2 linked regions of the Saccharomyces cerevisiae S288C genome follow. The gene in region 2 interacts genetically with the main gene of each other region. Each region holds a gene or a part of one and is shown on either strand. Other genes may lie near its edges.

The links. Genes that interact genetically often act in the same process or in processes that back each other up.
Region 1: mutations in BUD25 (region 2) and YCR102C together harm fitness more than expected from each alone (negative genetic interaction), as found in Saccharomyces cerevisiae (one large-scale study listed by BioGRID).

The regions. Positions count from the first base shown.
Region 1 is NC_001135.5:303,843-307,562, forward strand, and holds YCR102C (uncharacterized protein), read right to left. Parts: upstream 1,626-3,720; coding exon 519-1,625; downstream 1-518.
Region 2 is NC_001137.3:183,231-186,857, reverse strand, and holds BUD25 (Bud25p), read left to right. Parts: upstream 1-2,157; coding exon 2,158-2,180; coding exon of another isoform or gene 2,181-2,317; intron 2,318-2,638; coding exon of another isoform or gene 2,639-2,688; coding exon 2,689-3,127; downstream 3,128-3,627. Other genes in the region: medium-chain fatty acid-CoA ligase FAA2, read right to left, coding at 83-2,317; HEM14 (oxygen-dependent protoporphyrinogen oxidase), read right to left, coding at 2,639-3,627. UniProt on the Saccharomyces cerevisiae protein: Involved in bud site selection. Required for resistance to the DNA-damaging agent methyl methanesulfonate (MMS).

The DNA.
Region 1 (3,720 bases), on a different chromosome or scaffold from region 2:
GTACAAGAGCCCACTGGATAGAATAGTGCTGGCTATCAAACCAATATTTTCTTTCCAGCTCTTGGGGGACCTCTACTGCGTTATATCGTAGTTTCCATTCAGCCTGCTTATCGCCTTAGGAAAAGGGAATGTAAGAGGCAGAAAAGTGCGGCGCAATCGTTCGGACAGCGAGCCGCTATTATAGGTAAGAATTCTTAAAGAGCTTCGCCGGATATTATTACAGTGTATTAAATTTCGCCAAGTCTTTGCCAATGGAAATAGGTGCATAATTTTATGTGCTTGGTACATATGAGTTCAATAGATATGTAGTAGTTGGATAGTAGATAGTAAGGATATATAATCATGGAAGGGTGACGCACAACAAATCACATAATGAGTTATGATTTTCACTGTTCTCATCTGTTTCCCCTACAAGGCGTGATCAATAACAAACAATTTCATTAAAAAAAAAAAAACCAAGTCACTCTAACATACGTAATAACTGTGTATACAAAAGAAAAATAATATCTGTTCGTCATCTAGTTTAATACGGCAACTAGTTTTTCACCAGAGTTCTTACCGATTTTAATGTCTTCCAGGATACGAGGAACATCGTAAAGCCCGTTCTTATAGACCCTTGCTGGAATATGGTGAATTTGCCCATCACTAATCTTTGGATTGATGAACTTGACGAATTCGGTGGCAGCTCTCCTGGCTTCTGGGTCAGCAGGGAAAGTAATGCCACCAAATGGTACTTCATGGCCGCCTATTGAATACAGTCTTGTTCTGTCAATAGTGACATTTTGCCTCCTATTCTCCTTTTTGACGTTTTCTTCTGTCAAATTAGTTAATTCGACAACGGTAGCATCCTGTTTATCGGCCGCACATTTGTACACTTGTTGAAGCGTATTTTGATTCGCGACACAGTCGACTAAATACGAGATATTGTTGTACTTGTGTTTAATTTGTTCTACCACGTCAATATCATGGTAATCAAATAGTTGATCAGCACCATATTCTTTCAACAGTTTTTCGTGTTTCCGAGAAGCCACAACAATGATCTTGGTGAAGCCATTCAATTTATTGGCTAATTGGATGAGCGACTGACCTACTGCAGTTGCACCGCCCCATAATAAGATGGGGCCGTTTCTTTGTGGGGTTGATGGCTCCCACTTCAGGTTCAAGCCCAAGTTATAGGTCAACACCAAGCCAGCTGTGGTCAGTGACACTGGGATAGTGGCTGCCCCTTCCAAAGACCTGACAGGGCCGGCAGGTAGAACATCTTCACCCAAAAATTTGAGTTCATTGGGTGATTTGTAGGCAACCACAGTTGAAATAGCAGAATATTCAGCAAAAGCACCATTGGAAGGAAACCTTACGGAAGATCCGTGAATGAACCCATAAATATAATCACCAATAGAAAAGTCTTTAGGATCGACGGCTGGGCCCAATTTGACAATTTGGCCGGCAGCGTCACATCCCAGAATAGATCCTTGAGGCCCGACCTTGTAGTCAATGTGTGCCCAATCAGTCGGGTTACCAGCAACAGCGAGTGTCTTAATCAATACGAATCCTTCTTCCAATTCAGGAATGGGAACGCCCTCTTTGACAACCGCTTTACCGTCTTCAATGACGACAGCCTTCATGGTTTCTGGAATTGCAACTTGCCTGTTTGTAGGTTATATGTAATTGTCGTTGATAATCTGTATTCAGCTTGCCATTTTATAGAATATGGTTAGAAGGATCTTAAGCTAGATAAAGAAAAAGAAAAAAATAGAAAAAAGCCTGCCCGCTTTATAAGAACTTTTCTCAATATCTGTTGAGGAACACTTAGTAATATTGTCTATCATGGTTGCTTTATTCTTGGTGATATTACTCTCTGGGATTCGATGTGTTCTCATCATCTGAAGGGTTTCCTATGTGTTGAAAGCCTATCCCACTAGACGGAGCCGCGCGCCAGCCGGGCGGATCCGAGACATCTTAGTCAGCTGAGACAAGAAAGGCACAGCTCTCGGACAGGAACTGCTGTCATATGAAAACCTAAAAATGTTTCCTGGAAATTCCATGACTGCGCAAAGTTTGATACGTTTATTGTTCTTCTCTACTACCGCACTTTCTATCTCGGAAACCTTTCAACTGAATGAACTATTGTTAATTGTATGGCGTGTGGCCTTGCTATTTCAGCAAATTTAGAGTAAAGTAAACTCCGTCGGACCAGTATAGTAACGAAACAAGCCATTGATTCTGCAGCATATTGCGACCAAAACCTGGAAATTGGTGGCTATGAGTTTTAATTTATAATTATATGAAGACAAAGCTTGGAATGCTGAGTACTTTTTCTTCAATGCTGCTCACTGCCCAGAAGCGTTCAGAACAACTCTACTGGAGCCATTCTGCTTGAAGGAGGATAAAAATGCCAAGATCAAGTCTTTTAAAGACTCTATCCCTTTTCATCGGAAAAGCACTACAAGTTTATTCTACAGAAGTGGACAAACTGTGGAACTTGATCCATACTGAGTAAGTATGGAAGACTGTTAACTTGGAGGATTTTTCTCTGCTTTCTAAAGAAGGTTCACTGCTTTACACTCACCTAGGTTCTCATGAGTATTGCTAGCTAGTGCGAGTTTGATCTATACTTCACAGACTTTTAACACCCCGTTCTTTAAGTTTTCCCTGATTATCAAGCGGATTTCCAATTCTTATTCCCCACTATCGCACCTTTCTTATCTGAATTGTATTTTTGAGTGGCCTAACTGTAATCTTTTATTTTGTTTTCTAATTATTGAAGGCGGTTTCTCGAAACATTTCACGATTTCCAAAATTCAAGAATTGAAATTATGAACATAGAAGACAAAATGCCTTTTTTATCAACTATTATGAATTCTCTAGAAAGTGGTTGCAAAGGAAATAAATATGTATTTGCTGAGAGGAAAAGTTTGGAAGAACAAAAAGTATTTCTTTGATGGAGCTGATTATCAAGCATTCTTTACGGGGAGCTTTCGAAATTTTTTATATTCAAGGACATTTATGTTGTGTGGGTTATTAAACGTGGGACTTTGGAAATACATCCAAGAAGCACAATTGAGCTCTAACGATGAACCGTTACCATAAAGATAGAGACATTTCTTTTGACTTAGAAGCTACATGGAGTACCAACTATTAATACACCTCTCCTAGAGAACATTTTTAAAATAGAATAAAATAAAGTAGCGCTCTCAACTACCCTTACACTTTTTTCCTTCATATCTGGCTAGAAAAGAGGGATTACATCTCGGAATCAAAGTTTTAATACTGCTACTACGAACTGGTTACAATTCTATTTTTATCATACACGATACTTTGAACATCAACTTCTCTCAATACCATCCGCCTTCAGCGGCTACAATTACGTAATTGCACCAAGGCATTCGCCGAGAGTTTACATATTTGCAGACCCTAACAGTATACGACTCCCAACACACGTTTAATGTTGTACGAATTCAAGAGATGGAAATATTTCTTCCGCGGAAGCCGTTTAAAGCAGACTGAATTTAGGCTTAGACAATAAGCTTCTGAACGAGGGTCCAAATCTAAAATTCGGATATTCTTTTTGACCGAAAGCGGAAACTTCACAGGCGCGCGTAAAAGGGTTTTTCAAGGCACCCCGGCACCCCTATAATTGGCATTCCCACATTCTGCGCATACGAATACACATGAGTGCCATAAAACAATACTCCACATACGAAACCTATGAAAGATGTA
Region 2 (3,627 bases):
TGTATACCGTATGGATGTGCATAGGGATATCCTACATCAAAGTTTTTTCTAGTTTGAATGTGTTCCAAATCGTCATAAGTACCTAAAGCTTTTCTGTCTTGACTAGTGAACCTTCGGCGTATAGTTGGTCTAATGTATCTTTGAAGAATTTTGATGCTTTGGCACGCTTTATTTTAAAAGTTGGCGTCACAACATCATCCTCGAGAGTTAAAGGCTCAAGTCCGACTTTGATGTTATGCAATTTTTCGAATCCTTGTAGCCCATCGGTGCATTTATTAATTTTGTTTAAAAATTCCTTCCTTAGCTTTTTATTACGATTTAAGTTTTCTACTAGCACTTCCTTAGTCCACGTTTTCACCTCTGGGTGCTTTGCAGCTAAAATCGGTTGCGCTGCATCAACATCAACACCAACGATGCCAACTAAAAATGTCTTTAAAGGATCTCCAAAGACAAATATTTGCGTGATATAGGGGCATGATGATAAATAAATATTTTCGATTTTCTCTGGAGCAATATATTCACCATGTGCTAGCTTGAAAAAGTTCTTGACTCGATCAATGACGCTGATGCGACCTTTTCCATCGATAAATGCAACATCTCCCGTGGAAAACCAACCATCTTGGTCAACGGCTTTTGAAGTTTCATTCGGATTTTTAAAATATCTTTCAAAAACCTGTGGGCCACGAATTTGCAGTTCACCTTTTAAATCCTTGTCGGCATGGTAACCCATTTCTGGAACAGACTTCAATCTACATTCTGCAGAAATACCTATGGCACCACAAGATCCGACATCTTTTTCAAACGGTTCGCTTAAACAGACACCAGCAAAAGTTTCAGTTAAGCCGTAGCCCTGTCTTATACCAATATCCAAGGCACTTCTTAAAAATAGTAAGGTATCTTTAGATATGGGAGCTGATCCGGTAATTATAAACGAGTTATTGGACAAACCTAAAGAGTCTCTGATTTTATCAATCAATACGCGATGATAAACTAGAAAATTCATAATCGATTTATCTGGACCACCTCTTGCGGTAAATCTGGCCGATTTAGAATCCAATATAGTATTTGCTACGTTCCTCTGGACAGTCGATTTATCCAAAGCGTTTTTTATACCGGCTTCAAACCGTGTTAATATTCTAGGAACCAGGGCAACCGCGTAAGGTTTCAAAATCTTCAAATCCTCTACCAATACAGTTGGGTCTGGTTTATGTAAGAAGCCTATTCCAAACCCGATGGCTAGATCATACGCAATAACCATTCTTTCAAAAATATGAGCCAATGGCAAAAAACACATATCATATAACTGTTGGTTTCTTTTATCTGGCGGTATTCTGAAGGTAGAAAAAGCAAATGCTATCCCAGACGCAATGTTTCTGTGAGACATTTCCACACCTTTAGGTAAACCTGTAGTACCAGAAGTAAACGAAATAGTATACAAGGAATCTGGGGTAGGTGGAATTGCAGGAATTTTGTTAAAGCAACCAACTTGTTCTACCTGCTCCAATGAAAAAAATGTGATTTTTTCATTGAGAGAGTTGCACTTAACGGGTAGCAACGATTCATTTAGCATACGGAGCTCGTCATGAGTTAATTCATCCATACAAACCAAAGTATTAACAAATTTCATATCAGGCACCATCTTCAATACATGATACATATTTGATTTTGCAAAAATCAGAATGGGGGCCTCGGTTAAATTCAATATGTACTCGGAGGTGTTTGGACCTAATGTTTCGTACAAAGCCGTGTTAGTTAGAGAATAGGCCTGACAGGCCAAATCTGTTAGGATCCATTCAGGGTTGTTGTGTGATAAGATAGCAACAACAAAATCATTGGCTTCCAAAGGACGTTTCCTTTTCGTGTTTACCAAAGACAATATACCACTTCCGATATTATGACATCTTTTAGATACCGTGGAGTACGACTCGAAACGGAATGTTTCCTCCCAGGTGCCTGTGGCTTTATCAATTGGCCTTGAACCTAAACAGTCACGTTGAGGCCATCTCCTTGCAGAAAACATGAAGTGATCGTATGCAGTTCTTAAGTTTTTATCCACACAGCTCACTAGATTTTCAGAAGAAAGAGAACTCCTATAAATCGAGCTAAAACCAGCTTCATTATCCGGATTCGAAATGGCAACCGCCTGTTTCTTTAAAAATGTTTTGTACCTGGGATAGCTGGTCAGTGGTAATTGAGAGTATAGCTCTTCAATATATTCATCAGAGCCTTTGGTGTAACCGGCTAATCTTGTCTTCAAACTTTCGAAACGAGGATCCGATTCAATTAAATCGGTAAGTGCATAATCTGGAGCGGCCATATTTCGAAACAAGTTTGTTCTTATCCGTTTTTTGTAACCTGCATTCTTCCACTTCCCTTAGCCATGCGTTTCCGATGCTTTATATAGTTCCAACCCATCATCGCTCAACTCCGCAATTAATATTGAGTTCCCTCGTTTTGACTCCAACCCATCATCGGCGGCTCGGCGTTAAAGACTGACGGTCCGGAGGATGTTCTGAAAAATTTGGTTAATATAAATAAATTGTGTCTTTTGATACTAACTACTTTTTCTTATTAGCTGATAACTGCCTCAATTGTCAAAAGAAGTAGTTTGCGTAAAGCTAACCATATATATACGTACTTATTTGCTTAGCTGTAAGGCGTCGTTAAAGCCGTCTACAATAACGTCAGGGACACCGGGACTTCTAGAAAATCCCATTCCCCCCACAGAAACTGTTTGGCCGTAAGATTCTTGCAACTTCCTTTCAGCTCTTTCTTGCCATGCGTCATAACCTACATGAAATCTTGGCAGACATCTATCGGCGATAGTGAATTCCCACTGACCAGCTTCCAGATCCTTGTTACTGATGCCGAGGTGGTTGTTCAGCGCATCTTTGACTGCATTAATGGTTACCTCCCTGGATGGCACTACAGGAACACCGTGTTCATTGAGCATACAACCTCCTATCATCGCAGTCACTTTTGTATATTTGTTGAGGGCGTTTGGGTTTGTGGAGAGTTTGTCAAAAAGTGGTTTGAAATTCCTTTCGATAACAGAATCGAAAATTACACCAAGCAATTTCCCTGGATTCTTATTGGATTTGGGAACCAAGTATCCAAAGCCTTGTAGATCGGCATCTATTACATCTTTGTTTGGCAAATAATAATTAACTAAAATTATTGTGTTTGATTGTATCTCATCTAATAACTTGGATAATGAATTTTGATCCTTCGGTAGCAATTTAGCGATTTTGGGAGGTGTTATCGTAAGTCTTAAATGGTCAAATGTTTCGTATTGGTCGCCAGATTTCGCTTTCAATCCGATTGTCGTTTCGTTAGCAGGGCGTTTCATTATTTGCGTAACCGGGTTCCCAGTAACTATTTTGACGTTTTTAAATTCGTTCAAAGCATTTCTGACTATCTTGGGAAACGTTTCTAGTCCCCCAGCAAGACCCAACATGGGATATTTCTTTAGCGTGTTGGATAAGTCTAATAACTTTGACCTGTCTTTTCCAAACGCATTTGAGTAGTCGTTAAGGCAGCCAGTTAAAGATTGGTGCAGGTTCTCAGTTTTTTTACTTCTTGACTTTCCGCGCATATTATCAATCATAGCTTGTGTGTTAGATCCGT